7 linked regions of the Macaca fascicularis genome follow. The protein of the gene in region 1 interacts with the protein of each later gene in a pairwise test. Links are inferred from orthologs where the notes say so. Each region holds a gene or a part of one and is shown in the gene's direction. Other genes may lie near its edges. The genes, in order: STK16, ADAMTSL4, PLSCR3, MIIP, SAXO1, KCTD14 and TRIM42.

What was found.
Region 2: the proteins of STK16 (region 1) and ADAMTSL4 interact in binary tests that used the Homo sapiens proteins (3 or more experiments, as listed by UniProt). The two-hybrid records come from large-scale screens. The link is inferred for Macaca fascicularis from reciprocal best matches to the Homo sapiens genes STK16 and ADAMTSL4.
Region 3: the proteins of STK16 (region 1) and PLSCR3 interact in binary tests that used the Homo sapiens proteins (3 or more experiments, as listed by UniProt). The two-hybrid records come from large-scale screens. The link is inferred for Macaca fascicularis from reciprocal best matches to the Homo sapiens genes STK16 and PLSCR3.
Region 4: the proteins of STK16 (region 1) and MIIP interact in binary tests that used the Homo sapiens proteins (3 or more experiments, as listed by UniProt). The two-hybrid records come from large-scale screens. The link is inferred for Macaca fascicularis from reciprocal best matches to the Homo sapiens genes STK16 and MIIP.
Region 5: the proteins of STK16 (region 1) and SAXO1 interact in binary tests that used the Homo sapiens proteins (3 or more experiments, as listed by UniProt). The two-hybrid records come from large-scale screens. The link is inferred for Macaca fascicularis from reciprocal best matches to the Homo sapiens genes STK16 and SAXO1.
Region 6: the proteins of STK16 (region 1) and KCTD14 interact in binary tests that used the Homo sapiens proteins (3 or more experiments, as listed by UniProt). The link is inferred for Macaca fascicularis from reciprocal best matches to the Homo sapiens genes STK16 and KCTD14.
Region 7: the proteins of STK16 (region 1) and TRIM42 interact in binary tests that used the Homo sapiens proteins (3 or more experiments, as listed by UniProt). The two-hybrid records come from large-scale screens. The link is inferred for Macaca fascicularis from reciprocal best matches to the Homo sapiens genes STK16 and TRIM42.

What each region holds. Positions count from the first base shown.
Region 1 is NC_088386.1:115,181,735-115,186,468, forward strand, and holds the start of STK16 (serine/threonine-protein kinase 16), read left to right. Parts: upstream 1-1,793; 5' UTR 1,794-1,979; exon of another isoform or gene 1,980-2,099; intron 2,100-2,198; exon of another isoform or gene 2,199-2,202; 5' UTR 2,203-2,306; coding exon 2,307-2,392; intron 2,393-3,283; coding exon 3,284-3,503; intron 3,504-3,739; coding exon 3,740-3,873; intron 3,874-4,041; coding exon 4,042-4,162; intron 4,163-4,288; coding exon 4,289-4,384; intron 4,385-4,734. UniProt on the Homo sapiens protein: Membrane-associated protein kinase that phosphorylates on serine and threonine residues. In vitro substrates include DRG1, ENO1 and EIF4EBP1. Also autophosphorylates. May be involved in secretory vesicle trafficking or intracellular signaling.
Region 2 is NC_088375.1:110,697,571-110,701,611, reverse strand, and holds part of ADAMTSL4 (ADAMTS-like protein 4), read left to right. Parts: intron 1-92; exon of another isoform or gene 93-145; 5' UTR 146-254; coding exon 255-274; intron 275-504; coding exon 505-568; intron 569-865; coding exon 866-1,221; intron 1,222-1,393; coding exon 1,394-2,090; intron 2,091-2,303; exon of another isoform or gene 2,304-2,332; coding exon 2,333-2,435; intron 2,436-3,393; coding exon 3,394-3,530; intron 3,531-4,041. UniProt on the Homo sapiens protein: Positive regulation of apoptosis. May facilitate FBN1 microfibril biogenesis.
Region 3 is NC_088390.1:7,438,202-7,442,712, reverse strand, and holds the start of PLSCR3 (phospholipid scramblase 3), read left to right. Parts: upstream 1-1,445; 5' UTR 1,446-1,491; intron 1,492-1,696; exon of another isoform or gene 1,697-1,700; 5' UTR 1,701-1,871; coding exon 1,872-1,878; intron 1,879-2,146; coding exon 2,147-2,382; intron 2,383-2,473; coding exon 2,474-2,516; intron 2,517-2,618; coding exon 2,619-2,839; intron 2,840-3,004; coding exon of another isoform or gene 3,005-3,029; coding exon 3,030-3,191; intron 3,192-4,511. UniProt on the Homo sapiens protein: Catalyzes calcium-induced ATP-independent rapid bidirectional and non-specific movement of the phospholipids (lipid scrambling or lipid flip-flop) between the inner and outer membrane of the mitochondria.
Region 4 is NC_088375.1:222,764,073-222,767,013, reverse strand, and holds the end of MIIP (migration and invasion-inhibitory protein), read left to right. Parts: intron 1-124; coding exon 125-221; intron 222-491; exon of another isoform or gene 492-631; intron 632-1,354; coding exon 1,355-1,489; intron 1,490-1,823; coding exon 1,824-1,895; coding exon of another isoform or gene 1,896-1,902; 3' UTR 1,903-2,132; downstream 2,133-2,941.
Region 5 is NC_088389.1:79,947,160-79,951,200, forward strand, and holds part of SAXO1 (stabilizer of axonemal microtubules 1), read left to right. Parts: intron 1-1,852; coding exon 1,853-2,856; 3' UTR 2,857-4,041. UniProt on the Homo sapiens protein: May play a role in the regulation of cilium length. Stabilizes microtubules at low temperature.
Region 6 is NC_088388.1:76,915,506-76,920,098, reverse strand, and holds the start of KCTD14 (BTB/POZ domain-containing protein KCTD14), read left to right. Parts: upstream 1-1,437; 5' UTR 1,438-1,465; coding exon 1,466-1,555; intron 1,556-4,593.
Region 7 is NC_088376.1:43,533,312-43,538,033, forward strand, and holds the start of TRIM42 (tripartite motif-containing protein 42), read left to right. Parts: upstream 1-1,519; 5' UTR 1,520-1,685; coding exon 1,686-2,026; intron 2,027-4,722.

The sequences.
Region 1 (4,734 bases):
TTCCTCTCCAGCCTGCAGCCACCCCCTTACTCTACTAGTTTGTAAAATCCTCTACATCATGTTAAAGTGCAGTTCACGAACCAGCTTCATCAACGTCACCTGGGAGCTTGTTAGAACTGGAGAATCTGGCTGGGCACGATGGCTCACGCCTGTAATCCCAAAACTTTGGGAGGCTGAGGCGGGTGGATCACTTGAGGTCCGGAGTTCAAGACCAGCTTGGCCAACAGGGCGAAACCCTGTCTCTACTAAAAATACAAAAATTAGCTGGGCCTGGTGGCGCGCGCCTGTATTCCCAGCTACTCCGAGGGTGGGGGTGGGGGTGGGGGTGGGGGTGGGGGCTGAGGCAGGAGAATTGCTTGAACCCGGAAGGCGGAGGTTGCAGTGAACCGAGATCCTGCCACTGCACTCCAGCCTGGGCAACAGAGCGAGACTCCATCTCAAAAAAACAAACAAACAAAAAAGAAATGCAAAACCTCAGATCCTACCTCAGACCTATAGAATCAGAACTTGTATTTTAACAAGATTCCCAGGTTATCCTAAGCACCTTTGAAATCGAGAAGCATGGCTTTACTTGACTGGGGGCCCTGAAGACAGGGAGTGCCCTGTTCATCTCAAATCCTCAGCTTCTAGCACAGGGTCTGGCACAGAGTAGGTTAAATCTGGATGAATGAATGTCAGAACCAAAGGGCTAAAACAGGTTCAGAATCAAGGGAAACTGTTGGAAAATCTTCAGGGTGATCCGGGGTGTGGAAGGAAGGAACCAGGTCACGAGAAGGACCTCTTTCCTGGAGAGCACCGTTTCAGCAAAACAGCAATTCCCTCCTGGCCATTCCACCTTCTTTGGAAGTGCACCCCTCTCCAGCTTACCCTGCCTGCCTCAGCAACAGATGTTAAGGACAACTGCTTTGTGCCAAGGCTTGGAAACTTGTGAATTTCCTTTTCTTTTGACTTTACAATCTCAAGAATGGGATGTGAAGATCAGGGTAATAATAATTACTGTTTATTGACATGTACTGAAGGCTATGTGTCAGATATTGTATTAAACACTGTACATCTAATTTAATCTTCAAACAACTCCATGAAGTAGATAATTATCATTTCCATTTTACAGAGGAGGAGAGGAATGGAGGGAAACATTAAGTAGCCTGTCCAAGGTCACACAACTACGTTAACAGAGCTGGCGTTTGAACTAGTCAGTCTGGCCTCACAGTTAAGCTACTTAACATTAGGTACTATTATACCTATTTTACAGCTACTAAAAGTAAGGATCCGAGAGGTTAAGTAACTTGCCCGAGGTTACACACCTAGTATGCTATTAACACTCAATTTAGAAACTGAAAGTCTGGTTCACAAGCCTGAGCTCTTAACCACTGAGAGTAGAGGTAGTGGGATACAGGCCAGAGCCCGGAAGGTTGTAAGGGATCAGGAGACCAGGCCACCAGACCCGCCCCTACCTGGAATCCCCTCCGGGCTGCAGTGTAGTAGCCGCTTTCTGCCCCAGAGCGCCGGAGGTATGAAGCCTCCTACCTCCAACATTGGGAGATGGAGGTCCTGGGGGCCTCGGGCCGAGCCCGGCTTTGCTCCCCTTTGGCGCAGATGCCTGCGTCTTGACCCCCACTGAAGGCCAAGTAGAGAACCCTCACCAGGGTCCTGGGACCCGTCCACCCCTAGACCTAGCTCGCCCTGGGCCTCTCAGCTCCGCGCCCCCACATCCTCCAGATGCCCAGCGGTTGCTAAGATACCGCGGGCCGTTACGCCGCCGCGGACTGATGATGTCAGCACTGCTTCCGGTCGGTGGCGCTTCGCTCTGTCCCGAGCCAGGTCAGTCGGGGAGTGCAGGCTGGCCCATTCCAGACTCTGGGCTCCTAGGCCGGGGGTGGGCCCTGCCAGGAGTGGGCGTGAGCTTCGCACGTCCTCTGAAACTACGCTGTGCTCTGTCTTTGCGGCGCGACGGGTGTGGGAGCGGGGCCTGCCCAAAGGTGGGCTGGGGTTGGAGGAAGTGGCCCGGTAGCCGCTGTGTATCCTGAGGCCATAAGGCCCCTGACCCCCGCCGCTTGAAGCTGGCGAAGGAGCAAGGCCCATTTTCTCTAGACAATAGTGTAGGTTCCAGAGACCTGGGCCTGAGCTCTCCGCCTTGGTACTTCATGAGTCGTCTAGATTGTGCCGGACCTGTGTGAGACCGTGCCGTTGTTTTCTTTCCAGCATGATCCGCTTGGCCCCCAGCGCATCTCCTGGAAGAGCCCACTCACCCTGGACGAGCTCTTCGGTAGCCTCAGACTGTCCTTGAAGAGGATGACTGAAACATTATGGGCCACGCGCTGTGTGTCTGCTCTCGGGGAACTGTCATCATTGACAATAAGCGCTACCTCTTCATCCAGAAACTGGGGGAGGGGTGAGTGTTTGGAAGTCAGTTAACTAGGCCTCAAGGTTGTGGTCATTGAAGGAAAGCGGTGTGCACGTGCTTGGGGCACAAGGGTTTTATCCCTATCCCTATCTTCTCTCACCTGACAGAGCCTAGCTACACAGCATCAAGAAGGTGGATTCTGGAGCCAGGCCTGCTAAATCCACCTCATGTGACCTTGATAAACGATGTTTTTTTCATATGTTTAATAGAGATGATTATCATCCCTCACTGATGGAGTTGTGAGGATTAAATGAGATAATGTGTATAAACTGTCTCACCCAGTGCGTGGTTCTTAAGTACTTGATAAGTGTTGGCTATTATGGGCCGGGCGCGGTGGCTCAAGCCTGTAATCCCAGCACTTTGGGAGGCCGAGACGGGCGGATCACGAGGTCAGGAGATCGAGACCATCCTGGCTAACACGGTGAAACCCCATCTCTACTAAAAAATACAAAAAACTAGCCGGGCGAAGTGGCAGGCGCCTGTGGTCCCAGCTACTCGGGAGGCTGAGGCAGGAGAATGGCGTAAACCCGGGAGGCGGAGCTTGCAGTGAGCTGAGATCCGGCCACTGCACTCCAGCCTGGGTGACAGAGCCAGACTCAGTCTCAAAAAAAAAAAAAAAAAAAAAAAGTGTTGGCTATTATTTATTTAGCATCTGTCACGTGCAGAGGTCTCTATTACGACCATAGGACCTCAAAGATTTCTGTATCTCTGCTCCTGAGGAGCTCACAGTGTAATATTCTTCAGATTTCTCTTAGAGCCACATCTTGGGAGGGTTTCTGCTAAATGGGAAGGACACCCCACTCCCCACCAGGAAGTTTCGCTAGGTCTTAGCCATGTGGGAGATGACCATGACCCTTCATTGACCCCTTTGGCCCACAGTGGGTTCAGCTATGTGGACCTAGTGGAAGGGTTACATGATGGACACTTCTACGCCCTGAAGCGAATCCTGTGTCACGAGCAGCAGGACCGGGAGGAGGCCCAGCGAGAAGCCGACATGCATCGCCTCTTCAGTCACCCAAACATCCTTCGCCTCGTGGCTTACTGTCTGAGGGAGCGGGGTGCTAAGCATGAGGCCTGGCTGCTGCTACCGTTCTTCAAGGTCAGAAAGACTCCCGGTTATGGAGGGGGTTGCAACAGAGCCACCTACCCATGGGCTATGTGAGCAGTCCAGCATGTTAGGAAGCAGGGACCATGTCCTGGGTTTGGCCACTTTAGATTTTGAGTTTGAGGTGTGTATCATGAAAGGGCTGATAGGCTTTGACATAGGGAAGGGATCAGGCCTAAGGAGCAGAGGCTCCAAAAACATCTCCAACTGTAGGGAAACTTGTGTTGCAGAGAGGTACGCTGTGGAATGAGATAGAAAGGCTGAAGGACAAAGGCAACTTCCTGACTGAGGATCAAATCCTTTGGCTGCTGCTGGGGATCTGCAGAGGCCTTGAGGCCATTCATGCCAAGGGTTATGCCCACAGGTCAGTGGGAGGACCCTGTATGCTTGCTGGGGCCCAGAGGAAGAGCCTTACCAAGAGAAATGGGAGGTTTCTGTTCTCCCAAGAAACAGCCTGTATGATTCTTTTGCTTGCTGGGATTCCAGCCTTCCTGTCCAGAGATGCTCATAGGTCACTTCTACTTCCCTACAGGGACTTGAAGCCCACCAATATATTGCTCGGAGATGAGGGGCAGCCAGTTTTAATGGACTTGGGTTCTATGAATCAAGCATGCATCAATGTGGAGGGCTCCCGCCAGGCTCTGACCCTGCAGGTAAAAGAATCTCCAGGTTCCTTTTCTCACCTGTTCCCCATTCCCACCCCTTCTGGTGCATGCCCCAGTTTGGTCACATGACCATGACGAGTGCCCCACTTTTGAGCTCTGGGATCACTGTTCCAGGACTGGGCAGCCCAGCGGTGCACCATCTCCTACCGAGCCCCAGAGCTCTTCTCTGTGCAGAGTCACTGTGTCATCGATGAGCGGACTGATGTCTGGGTGAGGAGCATGTGGGTGGGTATCTGGGTAGGGAGGGCTGTGACTCTGTACCTGCTGTGGAGTAGAGTAGGTCGTTGGTTTCTGTTGCATGGGGCCCCAGGAACCACAGTATGTCCCCATCCACTTCAACTTCCTTCCTGGGAACTGTCACTGATACTGTACCCAGTTGCACCGGATGTGGTATAATCCCTGCCCCGAACAAGGTGAGTACAGCTCAGTATCAGTACTGAAGAGCAGGAGCTAAGCTAAGCAGGGGCTGCGGAGGCCTCCAACCGACTGGCAGTTTCTCTGTGCCCTGGTGGTGCCATGTGGCTGAGGTCAGCTTATTCTTTTTAGCTTATGTAGTCTTT
Region 2 (4,041 bases), on another chromosome or scaffold:
GACAAGGCAGTGATCCTCCCTGCTCCCACCCTGAGGATCCTAAAGGGGTGGGCCAGTCTCACCACCTCCTCCACTCTGATCTGTCCTCCCAGCCCCAAGCTCTCTGGACACTGGAGAGGTAACCACCAGGCTTCTGTCCCTGCAGAGAGCACCCTCCACACCCAGATGCCTACCCAGATGCCTGCCCAGATGGCTGTGTAGTTTTTGTGACCAGTCCGCTCCTCCCTTGCCCTGGGGCAGTAGAGGGGGGAGTGATGGAGAACTGGGCAGGCAGGTGAGAGAAGGGGCCATGGTGGGGAGGGAAGGGGGGGTTGCTGGGACGGCTGCATGTCTGGAAGTGAGGGAAAGAGGACCACTGGGAGGGGCAGGGGAAGTGATGAGTAACTTCTGCTTTCTGAGAAGTTGGTAGTCAGGATATGGGGAGCCGGCTGGGGGCGGAGGGTGGTGTTGCAACACCCCCTCTGGCTCCAGTCTGACGTCCCTCCCATGGCCTTTGGTTTGCAGGCCCTGGCTGTATCTGCTGCTGCTGCTGCTTCTGTCCCTCCCTCAGCTCTGCCTGGATCAGGAGGTGAGCTTTGGACAAGTGAGCAGCTGCAGCCTGCCTGCCACCCTTTCATCTCCCCCTGGGCTCCCACCCCATCTCTCCAGGCCACGCCTCCTTTCCCCACAGCCCATCCACCTCCCCTGCCAACTCCACAGTTACTTGCCTCACAACACCAAGAGGCCGAGGTGTAGTTCTCCCTCTGCTGCTGAATGTGACCCTGGACTGGCAGCGACTCTGTGAGCCCCAGCGGTGGTCTAGATGGACGCTCTGGACAGTTCCCTCTAATCCTTCCAATTCTGTCTGACCTTTTTCTCTATATAGGTGTTGTCCGGACACTCTCTTCAGACACCTACAGAGGAGGGCCAGGGCCTCGAAGGTGTCTGGGGACCTTGGGTCCAGTGGGCCTCTTGCTCCCAGCCCTGCGGGGTGGGGGTGCAGCGCAGGAGCCGGACATGTCAGCTCCCTACAGTGCAGCTCCGCCCGAGTCTGCCCCTCCCTCCCCGGCCCCCAAGACATCCAGAAGCCCTCCTCCCCCGGGGCCAGGGTCCCAGACCCCAGACTTCTCCAGAAACCCTCCCCTTGTACAGGACACAGTCTCGGGGAAGGGGTGGCCCACTTCGAGGTCCTGCTTCCCACCTAGGGAGAGAGGAGACCCAGGAGATTCAAGCGGCCAGGAGGTGAGAGGCCTGGGTGGAAGAGGTGGGCCTTGGGCAAGGTGGGGGCTTAGCAAGAAGGAAAGGGGAGCACGGGTGACTTCAGAGGGCTTGTCTTTGGTGCCAGGAAGTAAACTGGGGAAACAGGGTCAGAGGTGGTCAGAGCTGTGCCCCCACATCTGAAACACCTTCTCAGGTCCCGGCTTCGAGACCCCATCAAGCCAGGAATGTTCGGTTATGGGAGAGTGCCCTTTGCATTGCCACTGCACCGGAACCGCAGGCACCCTCGGAGGCCACCCAGATCTGAGCTGTCCCTGATTTCTTCTAGAGGGGAAGAGCCCATTCCATCCCCTACTCCAAGAGCAGAGCCATTCTCCACAAACGGCAGCCCCAAGACTGAGCTCCCTCCCACAGAACTGTCTGTCCACACCCCATCCCCCCAAGCAGAACCTCTAAGCCCTGAAACTGCTCAGACAGAGGTGGCTCCCAGAACCAGGCCTGCCCCTCCACAGCACCACCCCAGAGCCCAGGCCGCTGACACAGAGGCCCCCTCACCCACGCGCTCCTTAGGAGAAGGTGGCTTCTTCCGTGCATCCCCTCAGCCACGAAGGCCAAGTTCCCAGGGTTGGGCCAGTCCCCAGGTAGCAGGGAGACGCCCTGATCCTTTCCCTTCAGTCCCTCGGGGCCGAGGCCAGCAGGGCCAGGGGCCCTGGGGAATGGGGGGGACTCCTCACGGGCACCGCCTGGAGCCTGACCCTCAGCACCCGGACGGCTGGCTGCCCCTGCTGAGCAACGGCCCCCATGCCAGCTCCCTCTGGAGCCTCTTTGCTCCCAGTAGCCCTATTCCAAGATGTTCTGGGGAGAGTGAGCAGCTAAGAGCCTGCAGCCAAGCGGTGAGTCTCCTCGGGTCTCCCCTCCCAACCCCAACCTCCAGTGTGGCCTCCCCGCCCTGAAGCTGGGCCCTCAGCTTCTTCTCGGCCCCTGAGGGAGAAGGGCCTTGGCATCTGACCACCTCAGGGCAGGGGTCTTGGAGCTCTTCCGCTGACCTGATCCTCCCGCCTGCTCCCCAGGTTCAGCCCTGACCTTACCCTCATTTTGCTCCCCAGCTCTGACTCCTTTGTACCCCTCACCGCAGCCCTGCCCCCCCGAGCAGCCAGACCCCCGGGCCCTGCAGTGCGCGGCCTTTAACTCCCAGGAATTCATGGGCCAGCTGTACCAGTGGGAGCCCTTCACCGAAGGTGAGGTTTCTTGCCCACCCCTGGGCAGTGATGACTTGGAATTGGGGATGAAGGGGAGAGGAGACACCTGCTTACTCCCAGCCCTGAATGACTTCCAGCCCCTCTGCTTCCCCTGCGCCGTGCCTTCTTTCTTCTCCCTGGGGCTGGGTCAGGAGACAGCACAGGTGGCGGCGAGTGGTCTGCAGAGGGGTCGGGGTGGGAGGAGGAGGTGCGGGAGACACGCTTTGTCCGGACTCCTCTGGGAAGGCCATCACTGGGGGTCGGGTGGCTGTGACACAAGAGGGCCACAGTGGGAGAGATCCTGTCCAGCCGTGACAGCTGGGTGGGGGTGTGCCACGTATCCTGGGCACTACCGTATCGGTTGCTCCCAAGTTACCATCCGCTTCATTTTAGGCCTGTGTTGACACCAAGACAAGCACTCAAGAGCTCTGAACACACAGAATCATGGGCGTCAGGGATTGCTCCTCTCTCGGTTCAGAGTCCCCTTGATGGTCTCAGTGACCTCGACTGACCTGACCACCTTCCTTTTTTTTTTTTTTTTTCTGAGACAGAGTCTCGCTCTGTCACCCAGGCTGGAGTGCAGATCTCGGCTCACTGCAACCTCTGCCTCCTGGGTTCAAGCAATTCTCCTGCCTCAGCCTCCCAAGTAGCTGGGACTACAGGCATGTGCCACCACGCCCGGTTAATTTTTGTATTTGTAGTAGAGATGGGGTTTCACCATATTGGCCAGGCTGGTCTTGAACTCCTGACCTAATGATCTACCGGCCTCGGCCTCCTAAAGTGCTGGGATTATAGGCATGAGCCACTGTGCCGGCCCTGACCACCTTCTCAGCTTGTGCTGTTGTCACATTTCCTTCATCCACAGTGACCTGGGCAACCTCAAGGTGCCCCCCCGGGGCCTCTCTCAGCTAACCTCCCACCAGGGAGCCCCTAACCACCCTTCTACTCTGTCCCTTAGTCCAGGGCTCCCAGCGCTGTGAACTGAACTGCCGGCCCCGTGGCTTCCGCTTCTATGTCCGTCACACCGAAAAGGTCCAGGATGGGACCCTATGTCAGCCTGGAGCCCCTGACATCTGTGTGGCTGGACGCTGTCTGGTGAGGGAAGACGGGGTGCACACACACACACACGCATATGCGCACAGATACACACCCCTGTACACATACACATGTACACACACATATGCATGAACATATGCACACATGCAAGCATGTACACACACGTATGCAGACACACATGCATATGCACACATATGGACACAGACACATGTGTGCATACACATGTGCACTTGTGCATGAACACATGCACATATGCATATGCACACAGACACACACGGACACACATGCACACACGCATATGTGCACACACACCCGTACACATACACATGTAGACACATGCATGAACACATGCACACATGCACACACACGTATTTGCACAGTCTCATTAATTTTTTTTTTTTTTGAGACGGAGTCTCGCTATGTCGCCCAGGGTGGAGTGCAGTGGCCGGATCTCAGCTCACTGCAAGCTCCGCCTCCCGGGTTTACGCCATTCTCCTGCCTCAGCCTCCCGAGTAGCCGGGACTACAGGCGCCCACCACCTCGCCCGGCT
Region 3 (4,511 bases), on another chromosome or scaffold:
AGCAAGATCTCGGCTCACTGCAACCTCCGTCTCCCAGGTTCAAGCGATTCCCCTGCCTCAGCCTCCGGAGTAGCTGGGACTACAAGCACCCGCCACCACACCTGGCTAATTTTTTTTTTTGTATTTTAGTAGAGACGGGGTTTCACCATGTTGGCCAGGATGGTCTCCATCTCCTGACCTCCTGATTCACCCGCCTCGGCCTCCCAAAGTGCTGGGCTTACAGGCGTGAGCCACCGCGCCTGGCCTAACTATTGCCTTATTGGTGATGCCTTCGTAGCCTGACTTTATTTATTTATTTATTTATTTATTTATTTATTTAGAGATGGATTCTCGCTCTGTTGCCCAGGCTGAAGTGCAATGGCGCGATCTCGGCTCACTGCAACCTCTGCCTCCCGGGTTCAAGAGATTCTCCTGCCTCAGCCTCCCGCGTAGCTGGGACTACAGGCGCCTGCCACCACGCCCGGCTAATTTTTGCATTTTTAGTAGAGATGAGTTTTCGCCATGTTAGCCAGGCCTGGTCTCAAACTTCCGACCTCAGGTGATCCGCCCACCTCTGCCTCCCAAAGTGCTGGGATTACAGGCATGAGCCACCGCGCCCCGCCACGATCTTTCTAAAACACACATTTGAACTTCTTTGTTCTAAAAATGTCTCGGTGGACTCCTTGCTGCCCGTGGGGCCAAATCCCAGCTTCCGCACAACCCGCCGTGTATGTGGACTGCACTCCGTCTCTAAACTCATCTCTTGCGCCACTGAGCCAGTGCTCCCCAAGGCCAGGACTGGTCCTGGCTTAGGATCCAGTCGAAGAGACTCGTCTAGGGGGTCTTTTCTGACCGCGCGTCCTCCTCTGGCCCTCTAGGCGGCCTGAGCACGCTCACTGACACCGTTTGGCGGCTTGTCACCTGCGTGGCTTGGGCACCTGCAGAAACTGCTGTTGCTGCGAGGTGCCCGTGTGGGTCACCGCTGCGCCAGTGAGAGAAGACGGCGAGGTCGCCCCTGGGAGGCAGAAGGCGAGCCAGGAGCCAGTCCTGGAAGCCAATGAGTGAGTGTGAAGGGTGTTCCGCTGCGTCAGCGAGGCCCGACCGCCCTTGGGAGGAGGAGCCCAGGGGCCAGCGCGGCGCTGGCCGCCCTCGCCTCCCACCAAGGGCGCTGAGCACGCAAGCCGCCGACCTGGCGGGGTTCGCGGGGCCCGGGCCCAGCCGCCGCCTCCCCCAGGCGCTCCTACTCTCCGGGCATCTGCAGTCCGAGCGGAAGGGGCGGGAACGCCGGCGACGCTGAGGAGCAAAGCACACGCTCGGCCTCCCGGGGCAGCTGACCGCCTCCTTCTTCCCCGCACAGACGCACCGCCCAGGAGGGGGCGGGCCCGGCGGGTCGGGGGGGCGGGGCCGGGGTCGGGGGGCGGGGCCGGGGTCCGAGCTCCGGCCCGCCTCTGCCTCCGCCAGCTCCTGTGAGCCGCCGAGTGCTAGGCACCCGGGCTGTTCTGAGGGCTCCAGGTGAGCGGGGGCACAGAGGGGTCAGGGAGACCGCCCTCGAGGTGGGGCTGTCGGTCTGACCGCGGGTCCATCTGTCCTGCCGTCCGCCCACAACCTCCTCCGCAGGATGGGAGAACAAAGGGAGGGGGCGGTTCTGGGGCCCCCGAGGGAATCCTGGGTCCCAGGTACCCAGCCCCGCCCGCTGACACTTTGGTTTCTCCCCGAGTCAGAGGCGCCGCCCAAGAGACCCTGGGCCCGCGCCGGGCGCAGCTGCCTCTCCGCATTTGCCTGTCCGTCTTTGTGTCTGTCTCTGGGTCTGTCTGGCTATCTCCGAGTTTGCCTCCGCTTCCAGAACTAAGCCATCCAGACACCATCATCCCGAAACCTCAAGCCCTTCTCCCATGGCAGGTAAGTGTGCGCGCAAGTCCGGGGGTCTCCGTTATCCCCCCACGGACTTGAGAGCCGGGTGCGAACACATCCTCCCGGAATGTGCTCGGACTGGCTGGGTGGGGCCCCTCCCTTCCTTCCGGGGAACCTCCACCCTGCTCCCCTGCCCCATCTTTCTCTGCGTCTTGCCACCACGTTTCCCCCGAAGCCTTGCGGCCCATGGGCTGAAGAATAAGGGGATGAGGCCTTGGGTCCCTTTCTAATCCATCCTGCCCCCACCGCTTTACAGGCTACTTGGCCCCCAAAGGCTACGCCCCTTCGCCCCCACCTCCCTACCCTGTCACCCCTGGGTACCCGGAGCCGGCGCTACATCCTGCGCCCGGGCAGGCGCCAGTGCCTGCCCAGGTACCTGCCCCAGCTCCCGGCTTCGCCCTCTTCCCCTCGCCCGGTCCCGTGGCCTCGGGGTCTGCTGCCCCCTTCTTGCCACTGCCTGGGGTGCCTTCCGGCCTCGAATTCCTGGTGCAGGTGAGTGGGAAGGAGTGAGGGAGGATGACTGGGAGGGGACCTGGGCGTCCAGATGGGCCAGCTGATGTGCGCGCCGCCCCTCTCTTTCCAGATTGATCAGATTTTGATTCACCAGAAGGCTGAGCGAGTGGAAAGTGAGTAGAAGGAGTGGGAGGTTGGACCTCATGATGGTGGCCCGGATGGTGGGCTCCTGGGCGCGCGAGGCTCTATAAGTCTCCTTGTGTCACCCCGGGCAGCGTTCCTAGGCTGGGAGACCTGTAACCGCTATGAACTGCGCTCTGGGGCCGGGCAGCCCCTGGGTCAGGCGGCCGAGGAGAGCAACTGCTGCGCCCGTCTGTGCTGTGGCGCCCGCCGGCCGCTGCGTGTCCGCCTGGCCGACCCCGGGGACCGCGAGGTGCTCCGTTTGCTCCGCCCGCTGCACTGTGGCTGCAGCTGCTGCCCCTGTGGCCTCCAGGAGGTGGGAGGAGGAATGGGTCCAGGAGGGCGGGCCTTGGTGGGGCGGGACAATGATGAGGTCCACCTGAGATGAGGCCTGGATCAGGTGGGAGTGGGCAGGTGGGAATGGGAGGTTTAGTGAGGGCCAAGTAGACACCTGATAGAGCTGGGACCCCTGCCTCCGCAGTGACCCTGTCTGCTTCCCACTCCAGATGGAAGTACAGGCTCCCCCAGGCACCACTATCGGCCACGTGCTACAGACCTGGCATCCCTTCCTCCCCAAGTTCTCCATCCAGGATGCCGATCGCCAGACAGTCCTGCGAGTGGTGGGGCCCTGCTGGACCTGTGGCTGTGGCACAGACACCAACTTTGAGGTATCAGGAATACTAGAGGTTCTTGGGACCTTCGTAAACCTAGATGATGCTTCCATGAGGCAAGATAGTTAACACTAAGGTCAAGACCCTGAGCTCATCAATCCAAATCCACTGTGACTCCGACCACATTTGCAGCATTCCACCATTTGGAAATAGAATGGCCCCGTGGTCTTATAAAAGTGTAACAACGAGGATTTCATCTTCAGGAGCAATGTTGATTATTACACGTGGCCCTGAGATGGGCAGAAAAAAAAAAATCTAAGGCCAGCCTGGATTTGGGGTGAAGGATGCTTAAGTCTGTGTGGGCTGGGCCCATGTGGCTGCTGTGTATGAGTTTGTGAGCCCAGGCCCTGGAGCAAGCACGATTTTAACATGTTAACATCCTGTGGCCTGCCCTGCTACAGTAGAATCCACATGCCCCTGCCATTCTGATATCCAATATATCCTTCTCACATTTCTGTCACCAACCTGGAAGCTGGAGATCCCAAGTGGTGAGAATTTCAGAGAAAGGTGAGGCCTGGGAAGCACCTTGGTTTCTAGAAGACAAAGGCATTCCACAGACCCTTGAGTTCTTTTTTTTGTTTTGTTTTTTTGTTTGTTTGTTTTGAGACGGAGTCTTGCTCTTGTTGCCCAGGTGGGAGTGCAATGGCATGATCTCGGCTCACCGCAATCTTCGCCTCCCAGGTTCAAGCAATTCTCCTGCCTCAACCTCCCGAGTAGCTGGCATTACAGGCATGTGCCGCCATGTCCGGCTAATTTTGTATTTTTAGTAGACATGAGGTTTCTCCATGTTGGTCAGGCTGGCCTCAAACTCCTGACCTCAGGTGATCCACCCGCCTCAGCCTCCCAAAGTGCTGGGATTACAGGCATGAGCCACCACACCTGGCCGACCCTTGAGTTGTTTAAGGGATAATTCCTTGTGCATATAAGGGAGAAACAACTGGTATAATCCAGTAGACTTTCCAATGCTTCTAATGAGGTACCTACCTAAGATTACTTTGCAAAAATGAGTCACCTTGGTAGCCAGAGGGAGATTCCGTGATGGGAACCAGTTGGGAATAAGATGTAATAACTGTGTGATCTCCGGATGGGAATGTATAGGCTGTGGGGTTCTCATAGGGCCAGTGTCCCTTTTACATAATTATAAATGATCCATACTTGAGGCTGCACCCTTAGGACCACGGCAGGAAGTGCCCCAGAGCTGTAGGACAGTGCAGGAAGGGGATGGGAATGACACAAAAGGAAATCACTCCAGTTCTAATCCCAGAGAATGAGCACAGGAAAAGGACCAGGAAGTCACGGGGAGTAACTACCCACATC
Region 4 (2,941 bases), on another chromosome or scaffold:
GTATTGGGACACCTGTGGGGACAGAGCCTGAACCACTGGTTTTAAGCGAGTAAAGATGGGCCTGGGCGTGGGCCCCCAACCGCCGGGAGGCTCCTCAGGGGTCCCCCACTGCACCCCTGTGCAGGGTGAGCATCCCGCTGTCCATCCTGGAACCCCCGCACCGGTACCGCATCCACCGGCGGAAGAGCTTTGACGCCTCCGACACACTGGCCCTGCCCCGGGTGAGCAGCCACGTGGGGCTGGATAGTGATGAGGGCGGGGCTGGCTCAGACTGGCCCAGGTCCCCAGGGAGGGTCACAGAGCAAGGCTGGGCTCGACAGTGGTGAGCACCCAAGTCTCTGGAGCACAGGCTGGGCCTCTTCCATCACCCACAGCTGTCCCTAAGGGAGGTAGGACCCCCGCTCCACTTACCCCGGGGCTTCCAGGGTGGTCTGCCTGTAGGCTGGCATGAAATGAACGGACCCTGTTTATTGCGCTTTTGTGTACTGCAGGCATAGTCCTTAGGGGGCTTCTCTCAGGGAGCCCCCACAGCAGCCAGGAGGGCAGGCACTGCTGTACCCCCACCCTGCAGGTGGGGAGACCGAAGCGGAGTGGCAGGCGCCTTGCTGGAGGAGCTGGGATTTGAACCTAGGTCTCTGTGCTTCTTTTTTTTTTTTTTTTTTGAGACCGAGTTTTGTTCTTACTGCCCAGGCTGGAGTGCAGTGGCACAATCTTGGCTCACTGCAGCCTCCACCTGTAGTCCCAGCTACTTGGGAGGCTGAGGTGGGAGGATCACTTGAACCCGGGAGGCAGAGGCTTCACTGAGCCGAGATCTCACCACTGCACTGCAGCCTGGATGACAGAGTGAGACTCCATCTCAAAAAAAAAAAAGAAAAAAAGTCCTTTCCTGTGTCTCCAGGTCAGGATGGGGGCCCAGTGGCAACTCCGCCTGACTCCTAAATCGAGAGTAGGGCAGCTGGGGTCAGAGGAGGAGAAGGATACAGAGGAAAGTCAGTTTGCTGGTCCATGAAATGGACATAACAGCGCCATCCTCAGGGATGTTGGTGGCGAGGTGGGGCTGGTCAGTGAAGCAATCCATGCGGGCGCTTGGAGAGCCCACAGCAGGAAGCGCCCTGTGAGTGTCACTGTCACCATCCTGTCCTCCTCCTATTTCAGCTCTTAGGGCCCCAGCGATGGCTGGATCTGCCAGGATAAGGAAGGAGAGACCTGGGGTAATCTTGTGGGTAGACACAGGCCCTGCCCTGGTGGGGGCCTCCTTCCTAATGGGGGGCACAGTCCCTCCCTGATGGGGGTCTGCCCAGACAGCGGGGAGCCTATCCCAGGCCGGGCACCTTTAACACCTTGCCTTCCACAGCACTGCCTGCTGGGCTGGGACGTTTTCCCTCCGAAGTCTGAGAAAAGCTCAGCCCCCAAGAACCTGGACCTCTGGTCCTCTGTCTCCGCTGAGGTCCAGCACCAGAAGCTGTCAGGCACCAGCCCTTTTCGCCTGGTATGGCCCAGATCACATCCTAGCCTGGGGTGCCCCCCAGAGGGACAAAGACCTTGGAGCAGGCCTGGGGACTGCAGAGCCCCCTGGGGGGTAGGATTGGGCTGGGGAGGATAGAGCCTGGGGGTGTCCCTCTGCAGGGGTCCAGCCCTCTGGCCCTGACCCTAGCCATCCCCCGGAACTCCTCCGCTCCCTGCCGCCTGCCCTGCTCCACCCAGGAAGGCCACCCTGACTGCAAGATCCAGGAGGGAATGTGGCTGGAACTGGAGATGACCTGTCCCTTTCAAGTGGCCCCCCTGAAACTTCCCTCTTCCCCATCCACGCCTTGCCAATGCAGGTGCCGCCCCCCACCCCGATCTGGTCAGTGCCCCAGGTCCCTCGGCCCCACGTCCCACGGCAGAAGCCTTGAGGACTGACTCCTGGAGGAGGACAGCATTCCCGCCGCCTCCAGCCTCTCACCTCTGGCAGGCGCACCCAGGAGATGGAAGCCCCTGCCTGCCCCGCTCAGGCCCGGCTGTCCTAGGTTGGGCAGGTGGGTGGGCCCAGGCTTGTCTGCTGCCTGGGTTCCAGAGAGGAAGGACCCTGGGGTGGAGGGTGAGGGATTCTGTGGAAATTTTAAAATAAAGCTCAGTGCTCTGCAGCTCAAGTCCCACGTGTGCTGGTTCCATCCTGCTCATGCACTTGGGGCCCAGAAGGCACTCTGGCCTCTCAGCCTGCCCTCCTGGCACCTGCAGAAGGAAGACATTGCGACCACCGGGACTGGGCAGTGTGCGTGCGTCACCATGAGGGTGGCTCCTTCCGCACATCCCCAGCTCTGGGTAGTGGCCTCCACCAGATGGGGGAGGGGGGTCCCCAAGGCAGACTGGGCCAAGGTTATTAAAAAGTCATTTCAGGCTGGGCACGGTGGCTTACGCCTGTAATCCCAGCACTTTGGGAGGCCGAGGTGGGCAGATCACGAGGTCAGGAGATCGAGACCACGGTAAAACCCCATCGTTACTAAAAATACAAAAAATTAGCCAGGCGCAGTGGTGGGTGCCATAGTCCCAGCTACTCGAGAGGCTGAGGTGTAAACCCGGGAGGTGGAGCTTGCAGTGAGCTGAGATCACACCACTGAACTCCAGGTGACAGAGCGAGACTCCATCTCAAAAAAAAAAAAAAAGTCATTTCAGCGAGGGCCTCTGCTGAAGCCGTGAGTCGTCTTGAATGACTCAGCTCTGTCGTTCCTGGTCCCAGAACTGGGATCCATTGATAGAAGTGCTCTCTGGAAGTCCCTGGGGTCACATGGCTCCTCCACCCAGCCCTGGGAGCCGTGGGTCATTCAGAGCCCCAGCAGGGACAGATGAGGAAACTGAGGGCTGGGCAGTGAGTCGGAGGCAAGGTTAGCAGAGCGCCCAGATGTCTAGTCTGGGAGAGTGGGCAGCGCCGTCTTTCACCTCTTGTACATGTTGGTTGCAC
Region 5 (4,041 bases), on another chromosome or scaffold:
GCAGAATTTTTTTATAATAGCCAAAGAGTAGAAACAACTCAAAGTGTCCATCAATTGGTGAATGGATAAACAAAATTTGGTATCATGTAATATTCAACAATAAAAAGGTGTAAACTACTGATATAAGCTACAATATGGATGAACCTCAATTACATTCACTAAGTGAAAGAAGCCAGATGCAAAATGCTACATATTGGGTGATTCTATTTATATGAGAAGTCCAGAAAATGCACAGATACAGAGACCAAGAGCAAATTAATGGTTGCCTGGGGTTGGAGATGGGAGTAAAGACTGACTACAAATGAAGATAATTGGTACATTTGGCATGATGGAAATACTCTATAACTGGATTTTGGTGATGGATATACAACTCTATAAAAGTCACTAAATTGTGTACTTAAGATGGTATGTTTTATTATGCAAATTAGACTTCAATAAAGCTGTTACAAATTGTGCCTGCGGACTCCACTAGTGTTGGTGTACATACCTAAGGCTCCTCGGAAGCTGCTTTTTTTTCTAACCTTTAGTAAAGTGGTAAGCAAGAGAATTCCCTATAGATTTAGAAGGGCTCACTAGCACTACTTTAAACCTGGTAATTTATGGGGCCTAGTGGGGCAACCTAGGTCTTGGATGTCAGTCAAGTATTTTGAAAGAATGCCAGCAGTGCCAAGGCAGTTGAATCACATGGTTTGTCGTCCCATTTTTCTCACCTAGACGTTCAGTCTTAGTGCTGGCCCTGAGGGTCTGTGTGATAAAGTCAGTTTCAAAGGCTTACAGTGCTGTCTGAAGACAGTGTCTGGTCCTCAAGATGCCTGGAGGCCATCTCTACTGCATATTTCCTTGGAGTCCAGGCCTCCCTTTGTGTTGGCAGTTCTAGCCCCACAGCAGAGGTTCCTCTTGAGATGGACATCTAGAATGGCCAATTCTTTTAATTCTTCAAACATTCTGAAGTTCTTTTCCTCCTGCAAATCTTCCCTTTGATTATTTTTTTCTTTCACCTTTACTCTATCTGGAAATATAATGCCCTTAAGTGTGTGATATGAGGTATCAGAAGAACATGGCTTTGGAGTCAACAATACGGTTTAAATTCCAACTTAACTCGCTAGCCATGTGACTTTCGGGCAAGTTTCTTAGCTCCTCTGAGCCTTGTTTTAGAAATCTGTAGAATGGAGAGAATCATGCCCATCACAAAGGGTTATTGTGAAGATGAAACAAGATCATGTATGGAAAGACTTGAGCACAATTGACTGACATGTAGTTGGTATTCCTTAATTGTTAGAACCAGAGAGTAGAGTGGGTCAGATCGTGGGCTCTGGGTCTGAATTTGCATTTGTGCTTTTTCACTTCTAGCCAAGTGAGCTGGGACAAATTCTCTCATTTTCTGTGCATCTGTTTCTGCATCTATAAAACTGGCATTGATAGTACCCACCTTATTAGGACAGTCTGAAGATTAAGTGAGTTGATATATAAAGCACTTAGAACACTGCCTGTTATGTAATAAGTTTTATACAAGTGGCAGCCACTTTTCTCTCACCAGCCAATACAATGCCCTATTCCTTTGGAGTAGCATATTTGATATATGTGGATTAGATGTGAGGATTACAGGGACACAGTGGGCTGTCACCCCACAGATGACCAGGTAGGCCTAGTTCGTCTGGCTGGTGGCCTGCCAGTGGTGGGCTGTGAATTGCCTATCTCACTATATCAAGTGGTAGCAGGGATGTGCTCTGTCGTTCCTTTGTCTCAAAGACTACTTCATTGGAGACTGGCTTGTGACCTTCGGGCTCTGTAGAATATATGCAAGTTGGTTGACTTGATTTATTATTAATTACCTCTTCTGCTTTAATTTCAGCTGATTATTTGCCTTGGAACCAACCAAGGCGACAGCCACTTCGTCTGGAACACAAATACCAGCCAGCATCAGTCAGGTTTGATAATAGGACCACACACCAGGACGATTACCCCATAAAAGGCCTTGTGAAGACTGTGAGCTGTAAACCTCTGGCCATGCCAAAGCTCTGTAACATCCCTTTGGAGGATGTGACTAACTACAAGATGAGCTACGTGGCCCACCCCGTGGAGAAGCGCTTTGTGCACGAAGCAGAGAAGTTCAGGCCCTGTGAAATCCCCTTTGAAAGCCTTACCACTCATAAACAATCCTACCGGGGCCTGATGGGTGAGCCTGCTAAGAGCTTGAAACCTCTAGCCAGGCCCCCTGGGCTAGACATGCCTTTCTCTAACACCACTGAGTTTCGAGATAAGTACCAAGCTTGGCCAACGCCCCAGATGTTCTCCAAAGCTCCCATCACCTACGTCCCTCCTGAAGACAGCATGGATCTTCTGACAACAGTGCAGGCCCATTACACATACCCTAAGGGTGTCCCAGCTCGGTCCTGCCGACCTGCACCTCAGATTAGGAAAAGCGGTCGCTTTGAAGGCTCTTCCACCACGAAGGATGACTACAAGCAGTGGTCCAGCATGCGCACAGAGCCAGTCAAGCCCATTCCCCAGCTGGACTTTCCCACCGAGCCCTTGGACTGCCTGACCACCACTCGGGCCCACTATGTGCCCCACCCACCTATCAATACCAAAAGCTGTAAGCCTCATTGGTCTGGCCCTCGAGGAAATGTCCCTGTGGAAGGCCAGACCACCTACACCATCAGCTTTACTCCCAAGGAAATGAGCAGGTGCCTAGCTTCATATCCTGAGCCTCCTGGCTACACCTTTGAGGAAGTGGATGCTTTGGGACACAGGATATACAAGCCGGTTTCCCAGGCAGGCTCTCAGCAGAGCAGCCATCTTTCTGTGGATGATTCAGAAAACCCCAGCCAGAGGAAGTTGGAAGTGTCAGCCTGATTTTGAAAAATTGTAATTTAGGAATTACACAGTACTTTTAAAAGCAGACAACTGAGAATTATTTGTTGGACAAAAAAAAGAATTCCCTAAAATGACAGAAAAAAACAAAAAACAAAAAAAACCTTCACCACTTCCAGAGCACTTGAATAAAATGAGAATTACTTGACTCAGGGAAAATGACATTTAATCACCGGCTAATTAATTCCCCTTAACTTCTCCTTTACTGCATCCCCACTCCGTTTCAGGTTCTTTACTTTGTGCTTATGGAATCAAAATTGGTCTCTGAGGTTTTCTCTAATCCAGATGTATTTTATTAATTTAATCATTGTATGAACGGACATAATGATTAACCCTTGCCAAGTATGAAGCACCAAAGAATAAATTTTATTTTGGGGGGAATGAATCTGTAGCTCTGTGTGTTTACACCCATGTGCTGGCTGTGCAGACATTAGTCTGTATTGCTTGGGACCTTTGGGAAATTTTACGTTAGCATCCCCACTGTGTGTTAGTATTGGTGGAGGTGCCTTGGGCCTGGTCTGGGGTCTTGTTTTGGGTTCTCTGTGTGCAGGGCTGCTTCACAAAGCATCCTTCTACCTCTTCACTGCATGACATACCAGCAAGAATACTGCTGTTCGATGGGGTGTGGATGTCTTTGGTCACAGGTGATGGAGGGAAAGAAAGGGAGGCAGGGATGCATGAACCCACCAGACCTCTCCCCAACCCCAAGCCAGTACAGGCTATGATTCCAGGGAGAGGAGGGAGAAAAAGCAGCCTTGGCAAGCAGGCAGTCAACACCTGGTCCTTGAGCTGTGAGCAAAAGCTGTGGGCTCTTCTAAATGCTCAGAGCCTGGAAGAAATTGCCCCAGGCTGGCCTGGTTTCTGGAGAGCCTGGATGTGCTTGTCCTAAAATGACAGCTGTGACCAGACCTGTGGCAAAGTTAGACCCAGTGGTGAGCCAGATTCCACCCTGGAGTTTCTCTCTTGAGCCTAAGGTTTTTTACCACGTTTGTTTCTAAGGCCAAGTAATTTAAAGCTATTTTATTTATATTTTTTTAATTGAGCAAAATTGAGGAGGGACTTTGTTAAAGAGGGTCCCATACAGCCAATTAACTTGCAGATTTTGTTTTTAATTGGGCAGAATTGAGGAAAGACTTTGTGCCAGTTAGATGAGCTCATGGGTCTGCG
Region 6 (4,593 bases), on another chromosome or scaffold:
TTACTTTGTTGCCCAGGCTGGAGTTCAGTGGTGCAATCTTTGATCACTGCAAGCTCTGCCTCCCATGTTCCAGCAATTCTCCTGGTTCAGAGTCCCAAGTATCTGGGATTACAGGCACGCACCACCACACCCAGCTAATTTTTGTATTTTTAGTAGAGACGAGGTTTCACCATTTTGGTCAGGCTGGTCTCGAACTTCTGACCTCAAATGATCTGTCTGCCTTGGCCTCCCAAAGTGCTAGAATTACAGGCGTGAGCCACCGTGCCTGTCCCCAGTAAAATATCTTGTTTCCACATTCTCCCCATAAATATTTGCCTCTGATGCATTGTCATGGGAACATTCAACCTTTTTCCATCTGGTGTTTCCCAATTCAAGAATTGCCTGTTATCCAAGTACACTCTTAAAAAAGTTTTGTTGAGCCTCAGATTTTACATTTTAACACCACCCTACCTCCTAGGGTGCTGGTTTTCTGATCTGTAAAATGGTGTTGACGATATTTCACTCCCTAGGACTGTAGGGAATAGAAAGTCTCTAGCTGTCAATGTCAGTCAATGTCAACTCCCTCTGCCTCCCCCATTTCACTCCTGGGAACTCTGAGGCCCAGAGAGGGGCATTAACTAGTGTCAACTTTAATAACGGGATTCAGGCAATACGTTTAAATAATTTATTTAAGCGTAAAGTTTGAGAATGGCCAAGCGGGGGACACAGGCTCCAATAAGCTGGGTTCAGTGCTCTTGAGTAGAGTGGTTTGAGGGTCATTCATTTATATAAGCAAGGTCTGGGGAATAATAAGCAATAATAATAAGAAGAATAAGAAGCAAGGTCTGGGGAAGCTTAACAGAATTTTAACATTTTCCATATTAGTTAAGTGTATAGTTACAGCAATTTAATTGATTCTAGGCAGTGTTTCTGTTTGAGAAAGGTACATTTAACATTCCACATTAAGATGTAATATTCAAACGGTCTTTTATCTCAGTCATGGGGTCTTTCATCTCAGGTGCCATCTGATCTAAGCCGCAAAAGAAAATATAGGAAGAGGCAAGGTGCTGTGGCTCAGGCCTGTAATCCCACCACTTTGGGAGGCTGAGGTAGGAGGATCACTTGAGCCCGGGAGGTTGAGGCTGCAGTGAGCCTGATCTGCCACTGCACTTCAGCCTGGGCGACAGAGTGAGACCCTGTCTCTGGAAAAAAAAAAAAAAGAAAAGAAAGAAAAGGAAGGAAATTAATCTATATCAAAAGGTCAGTACTTAAAGGGTTTGCTCCATTTCTCAGTCTCCAAAGTCAGCCCTCCTCAGGGTCTAACAACTTTTAAAAGCCCTAAATAGACAGACTGTTCATTTCCTTCTGCACTTGGCCAGGTCTCACTAAAAGCCACGCCTGGCCCAGCCCCATCCCGCCTTGAGCCTTGGTGTCCCCACCTAGGGGCGGGCAGCCAGGGGCACTTCCGCTGGCCCAAGTGATCTGCATGTGGCAGGGCTGCGCAGTGGAGCGGCCAGCGGGCAGGATGACGAGCCAGACCCCTCTGCCCCAGTCCCCCCGGCCCGGGCGGCTGACGGTAAGTGCCAGGCTAGCTGAGTCCCCGCGCCTCTGCCCTCCCTTCCAGTTTCTCCTGCCCGTCCGTCGCAGCCGGCCGAGCCCCCTACTTCTGGCGCACTGTCTCCCTGCACCTCGGGCTGGTCGCTCTCTTCTGTCTTTGCTATCCCTCCTGCTCGGATGGCTCTCCTTTCGCGCCTCGGTGTCCCTTTCTGGTTTGGCTCTGTCCAGCCTCTCCTTTTTGCCCTTTTGCTTCCTCCCTCTGCATTCGGTCTTTAGTTCCACTCCCTTCTCTCTTCCCCCGGGCTTGTCCTAGTCCAGGGCTTCTCCTCTGCTCCTCCTTCTCCCCTGCTCCCCGTGGGAGAAGCCCATCCAACCAGCTTGGCCAGAGGATCTTTCCCTCACCCGCAGCCCTCTCCAACCTGCCCCTGCCCCTGCCCTCTGGCTGGGACCCGAATCCCTCTGCTTGCCTGCCTGGTCCCTGGGCTTGGGTGAGGGGAGTTGGGGAGGAGGATGGGGAAAAGGCTGGCTGCACTCTAGAAGCAGAACACTCGGGTTCTCTCCTGCACTGAGAATCATCCTGAAGACCTGGAGGAAGGGAAAGCAGATCCAGCAGCAGGTCAGCGTGGCTCTCTCTAATAGGGCCATGGTCACGTCATTGCTGTTGGCTATTGACAAAGTCACATGCCTAGTGCCAGGATCGCCCTAGGTGCTCAATAAATGCCTGCATGAATTACTGGGGAAGTGTAACGCACTGTGCATGATGCCAGGTAGGGCAAGATTGGCCTTGAACAGAACACTAGATGCTCCTGTAAATCAGAGGATATTCCCCTCCCTTAGGAGCCTCACAGCCTTCTTGCTTGTTTGTTTGTTTGTTTTTGTTAAAATAGAGACAGGGTCTTGCCATGTTGGTGAGACCCAGGTTGGTCTTGAACTCCTGGTTGAAACCCCAGACTGGACTCAAACTCTTAGGCTCAGGCAATCCTCCTACCTCAGTCTCCCAAAGTGCTGGGATTACATGCGTGAAACACAGCACTTGGCCAGGAACCTTGCAATCAATGAACAAACAGGGAATTATAAGGGAAGAACTGCCAGGCCAGTGGAAGTATAGTAGTGTAGGACTTTCTGGGACCACAATGAGACAACCCACCCCGAAGGACTCCCAGAGGAATTCATCTGAAGGATGAGTAGGGTCAGAGAAAGGAGTGTGGATGGCAAGTGAGTGAGCTTCTGGAGGTGAGGGGGCCTGGCTTGCTCCGGATTGGAGGGGTGGGGAGCAACCGGCGGTTCTGGTAGCTGATTGCGAGGGGTGAAGTAGCAGCCCAGTTGCAAAGGGCCTCTAAACCTTGTTATGGAGTCTGGAGTTTATCTGGAAGGGAATGAAAAGTTGCTCAAGTGTTTAATGCAGGGAGTGATAGGATCAGATTTGTACTTCAGAAAAGGTACTCTCAGCCAGGCGTGGTAGCTCATGCCTGTAGTCCCAGCACTTTGGGAGGCAGAGCGGGTGGATCACCTAGCTCCGGAGTTTGAGACCAGCCTGGCCAACATGGCGAAACCCTGTCTCTATAAAAAATACAGAAATTAGCAGGACATAGTGGCACACGCTTGTAGTCCCAGCCACTCTGGAGGCTGATACAGGAGAATCGCTTCAGCCTCGGAGGTGGAGGTTGCAGTGAGCCGAGATTGTACCACTGCACTCCAGCCTGGGCAAGAGTGAGACCTTGTCTCAAAACAAAAAACAAACAAAAAGGAGCTTAGGAACAGGGCTGAGGTCTTGTTTGATAAAGAAATGGAGCTGAAGATGTCCGCACAGGAAACTTTTTTTCTTTGAGACAGGGTCTCCCTCTGTCACCCAGGCTGGAGTGCAGTGGCGCAGTCTTGGCTCACTGCAACCTCTGTCTTCCGGGTTCAAGCAATTATCCTGCCTCAGCCTCCCAAGTAGCTGGGATTACAGGTGTGCGCCACCAGGGCCCAGCTAATTTTTTGTATTTTTAGTAGAGATGGGGTTTTGCCATGTTGGCCATGCTGCTCTTGAACTCCTGGCCTCAAGTGATCCTCCCACCTGGGCCTCCCAAAGTGTTGGGATTATAGGTGTGAGCCACTGCACCCAGCCTATTTTTTGAAGCATCTGGAAATTAGCTTCAGAAAGGACATCGGATGTGATTGGATCTGTTAGACTTTCAGAGCTGGGGGAGCTTAGAGTTCTCTTGGTCCCTTTTACCTTCCTGTTTCACAGATAACTAAGCTTAGGCCCAGAGAAGGAAAGCAAAGGGCCCTGGGCACATATCTAAGTACTGGCAGTAGTGGGGCAGGATGTTGGGAAGGATGGGAGTGAGGTACCCATATTGTGTTGGAGTCATGCTGATACAGGTTTCATCTCAGCTCCAACTTCATCACATCCTAGCTGTGTGACTTCTCTCTGAACTTTCCTTGCCTGTAATATGGGGATATTAGGAGGGCCTGGGAGCTTTCAGCAGTGTAGGAGTAATGAGAACATATTGGTCCATTCAAGGGGTAAAGTCTGCAAGTTGGCATTTAACTGGGTGCTTTACAGAGGTGACCTCAGGGTTAACCAAACAGTCCTGCCAAGGGGCCTTGAGGTTTTTGGGAGAAAGAGTCAGAGGTTCTGGGCTTATTTTTCTCAGCTCTATTGTTTGGCTGCTGTCAAGATGCATCCTCTCCTCTGCCTTCTCCCTTCCAGTAAGCAGAACTGTCCCCTGGTAGGAGATGTTGTCATGGCAATCAGATTTCTCCAGCAGTTCAGTTGCCTTTGTCTCTCTCTTTTTTTTTTTTTTGTTTTGAGACAGCCTCGCTTTGTCGCTCAGGCTGGAGTGCAGTGGCTGGATCTCGGCTCACTGCAAGCTCCACCTCCCGAGTTTACGCCATTCTCCTGCCTCAGCTTCCCTAGTAGCTGGGACTACAGGCGCCCGCCACCTTGCCCGGCTATAGTTTTTTTGTATTTTTTAGTAGAGACGGGGTTTCACCGTGTTAGCCAGGATGGTCTCGATCTCCTGACATCGTGATCCGCCGGTCTCGGCCTCCCAAAGTGCTGGGATTACA
Region 7 (4,722 bases), on another chromosome or scaffold:
ACAAAAGCCACATGTTATATGATAGCATTTATATGAAATTTCCAGAATAGACAAATCCATAAATACAGAAAAGTAGAGTATTTGCTAAGGGCTGGGGGAAAGGAGAAACAGGGAGACACTGCTAATGAGTGTTTTACGGGGGTGATGAAAAGATTTTGGAATTAGATAATGGTGAGAGTTGCACAATTTTATGAATATACTGAAAACCATTTATGTGTTTACTCTAAAATGGTGAATTTAATGGTGAGCGAATTACATATTAATAATTTTTTAATAAGACCTTACAGAAGGCAATCGTGAAAATGTATCATAAATCTGGGAATGAAACTCTAACCTGTGTGCCTGGAGAACGGAGAGAGATATTGATAAAACTGAGTTTTGGCAAACATGTGGGGAAAAGGTGTTTCACTTTTTTGAATGTCTTATATTCCTTGCTGGTATTAACTGGCACATTTGAGTAAGAAACTGAGCGTTTTGCATTAAAAAAAAGACAGATAAAGCACATACCCTATGATCCAGGATTTTCACTTGTAGAAATCTAGTATCGATGTGTGGCTGGCATAGTTGGCACTCAGTGATTTTCTCTCCTATTATAAAGGTGATAACTATAGGGAGAGATAATAAATTATGCAGTAAATTCCTGCAGCCAAACTCAGCTCTCACTTCTGCTTTTTATAAAAATAAGACAGTATTCATACTCTAATGTACCATGACCATGAAATTTCTGTTCTTTTAATCTTTGCAAGTTGCATAAATGGGAAAGCGAAATTCTTCCCTAAAATATAGGGTCTTTTTTCTAGGGATACTGAGCGTATACTAGCAGAACAGTTAAAGATTTCACGTAGAGTTCCAGCCTCTTTTTGGAGTGGGAGTAGGATGGGAAAAGACAGAAAGCCTGAACCTCACCCAAACACCATGAAGCTACAAAAAAGCAAAGAAATATTCAGAGTGACTTATGTATAAAGCTTCATGAAAATGAGCAGTGACTATGCATTGATAAAAATCAATTACTACTGAAAGAAGTTCCTAAGTGAACCTGTATATATTTTTTCTTTAACTCTCTCTCTGAATGGTGATATCTCTTTAAACATGGCATTGGTAATATTTGTAAACACTGTCCTTCGTTCAAATAGAATTCTATCAATTCCGCTAACGTGGAAAAACATGTGAATCTACTTTTCTAATTAACCATACCCAAGTCTTTCAGTCTACGAAGACATAATCTGAAGTCCACTTGCCCAAATCGCAGGCAGAACACCAAACAAGGAGAAATAACTTCAGAAATCTACTCCATTATCCAAAAGGTGACAAATGACAACTAAACTTCCAGGATGCTCATTGCATCACCACTCCTCTACAGCTGGTTCCATAGAAGCATGGAGTGTTCACCAACATACCTGCTACCACCCACAAGGCCGCATCCTCCTACCCACCCAGCATGGTAGAGACACAGGGATTGTGACATAAGCAAATACCCTCAGACTGATATATGTAAATGCCAGCCTACGAGCTTCCTGGTAGGGACACCAGCTGTGAAGGCCTCATAACAGCCAACTTCTTGCAACTCTCAAGCTGACGGCCTTACGCAGGGGAGGAAGGACTCCTCCACTGGAGAACTGATAGCAGTATTCTGGTAGAGGAGGCATCAAGAGCCCTAGGAGGCCAGCGGTAATCATGTAGGCGCCATGGAAACTGCTATGTGCGTTTGCTGTCCATGTTGTACATGGCAGAGATGCTGTCCTCAGTTATGCTCCTGTCTGTGCTGCAAGTTCATCTTCACCTCAGAGCGGAACTGCACCTGCTTCCCCTGCCCTTACAAAGATGAGCGGAACTGCCAGTTCTGCCACTGCACCTGTTCTGAGAGCCCCAACTGCCATTGGTGTTGCTGCTCTTGGGCCAATGATCCCAACTGTAAGTGCTGCTGCACAGCCAGCAGCAATGTTAGGTGCTACTACTATGAGAGTCGCTGCTGCCGCAATACCATCGTCACTTTCCACAAGGGCCGCCTCAGGAGCGTCCATATCTCGTAAGTGTCAGACACTGGATGTGGGGCCACATTGGCTCATGAAAACTAGGGACCACTTGCCAGCTGTGAAGTCCACAGGGCAGGCCAGTGCGCCTCTGAGTTCATTTCTTTATCTAAGAAGGAGCTAAGAATTTTGTAGCAATTAACTGTATCCTAAATGGTCACTATGTATGTAGACCATGAGTTCCAAATCTAAGCACCATTAACTATGAAAATGAGCACTTCACTCCTCTGAACCCCAACTCTCTCATCTGTACAAAATAGTAATAGCTAATAGTTAGTGCTTAAGCAACTTGCCAGGAACTTCATGCATGACCCCAGCTAACCCCTCACCCTAAGTCCACTGTTTCCATGAGGAAACTGAGCCTTTGAGAAGTAAAGTTGTCCCAGGATCACACAGCTGGAAAGATGCAGTCAGGATTGGAACCTAAAATTTGGGATCTTAACTTTAAAATGCTATATTGCAAAATGGAGACAATACCCCCTTCCCATGATATTATAGATATAAGGATTAATGTACATGCTTTGTAATCTGTATGTGATATAAAAATATAAACTGCTCTTTCTCTTCCTATGAACTCTTAATACCTGCAACATTTAATGGAAAAGTAAGAATTTCTACAGGGCACTTTTGACCCTGAGGATCATATAAATACCCCATACATCCATGAACTCCTACTACCTTGTTTTTCCCATCCAGAAGTCATAGTACTCAGGGTCTCAATTACGCATTTGGAGTACTAACCCTCCATATTAGGTCCTACATTATCCTCACCTGCTCTACCAAACCAGTCTTTTTACGTCACAGATGAGGGGAGTCTGAAGTAGTAAGAGCACACTTCTTAGAAGGGGAAAGATGACATCACCATAAGATGACAGGATTAGAAGAGGCAGAAAAATAGAAGGCAGTTAGAAGGCTTTCAAGCCTGGAAAAGCAATTCTGTAAGCAAAGGTTTGGTGAATTCAGGGGAAAGATATTATCCATCTTGCAATTAAACATTAAGTAGATGCTTAACAAACATAACTCTCCACCCATGACCCTCTCATAGTGTTTGCATAAATAGGAAATCCAGGGATTCTCGATGCAAGTCTAGAAATCCTAAAGCATGGAAAATAGTGTCCACACTCCTCTCTTAACTACCTCATTTTCTGTGCAGCAGCAGCTGAACCTCTGAGCCCATTTCAACAGGAAAGGGATAAAATTGGTGCTTTAGGAAAATGCCTTAGGCTCAGTAGCTCCCCAACGTTATTGTGCATTGAAGTCACCTGGGGATCTTTTAAAATTACTGATGCCTGATCCCCACCCCCAAAACATTGATTTTATTGGTCTGGGGTACCACCTGAGCATCTGAATTAATTAGACTCAACCCCCGCCTTCAGGTGATTCTAATGTGTAGAACGGCCTGCAGGGGGCTAGGAGGGAAGCCAGGAGATTTGACAGGTGATCCAGCAAGAATCCAGGTGCAAGAACAGGCCTGATTTTGGGAGAGAGGGGGCTGTGCAGAGGAGCAGAGACAGGATATCTCAGCAAGAAGATAAAAGCGCTGGGCTTGATGACTGTTTTGAAATGGAACCATGGCCACTGAATGCCCCATCCGAGCCTAAGGCTTTTGGAGGATGGGCAGGGATGCTACCACAAGTGTTAGGAGGTCAGCTGTGGGTGCTTTTCTTCAATCTAGCCTCTCTCCTGGCTTCTGACCCTCTGCCTCCCCTGTTTCTCATCACCACTTTCTGTTCAGCACCTTGCTTGTCCTGCCTCACTCTGGTCTCATGCATCCCTCTCCATCTTAGTCTTTTTCCCACTTCCTTTTTCACCTCTAACACAGCTACCTAGGCCATTAATACCTGTCTGTTAGCCCTGAGACCTCTTTCTCGTCCTCCAACACCTCCCTCCCCCATTCTTCTTTCTTTTTTGTGAAAATGCTAGCTCATGAGCTTCCTAGTAGAGATACCTGCTGTGAAGGCCTCATAACAGTCTCTCTTTATATTATACCTCCAGTCCTTACTTTTTTAGCAAACTAAAGTCCATCTGGGCACTACATGGACAATTGACCTGTACCTCCAGGTGATCCCTTAAGGACCCATGCAGGAATCTGGGAAAGCAGAGAGGAAACAGAGCTGAGAACATCGAGGCCAGCATGCCTGGAGTTCCCAGATCCCTAAGGCACAAATTTTCCAGGTGCCTTAATCCACACAGGAAGCATTCTCTGTCACCACAGGGCCACTCCATTCCAATATACTTGGGAAGCACCTGTGACTATCTGGACTCAGACATAGGGAGTGGGGAAGACAGGGACACATAAGGAATGCAAGAAGACAAAAGTAGAAAGAAACACAGCCACAATGTCAAGATTAGTATCCAAATACTATTATGCAAACAGAGGAGAGAGCAATAGCGGCAAATTGTGTGCCTATTTACACCTCCATTCCCACAGCTAATTCATTTATTTTTATACACTGCATTTGCTGATTGTAAGTTCTTAGAACAGGCACTTGAATTTTACAAGTATGCTTTTACTCCATAGTTCTTACGATTAAATGTATGAAATCAGCCTCAGGCATTAGACAAATGGAGAGCTTTAACACACACAAATGAAACAGTAGAAGCACATACTTTTCACAGACTTGGCCACTATTTTCCTTTACTGTGATTTCTCTCTACTGCAGACATTAGCTGGCTAGTAGCAAAGGGATGT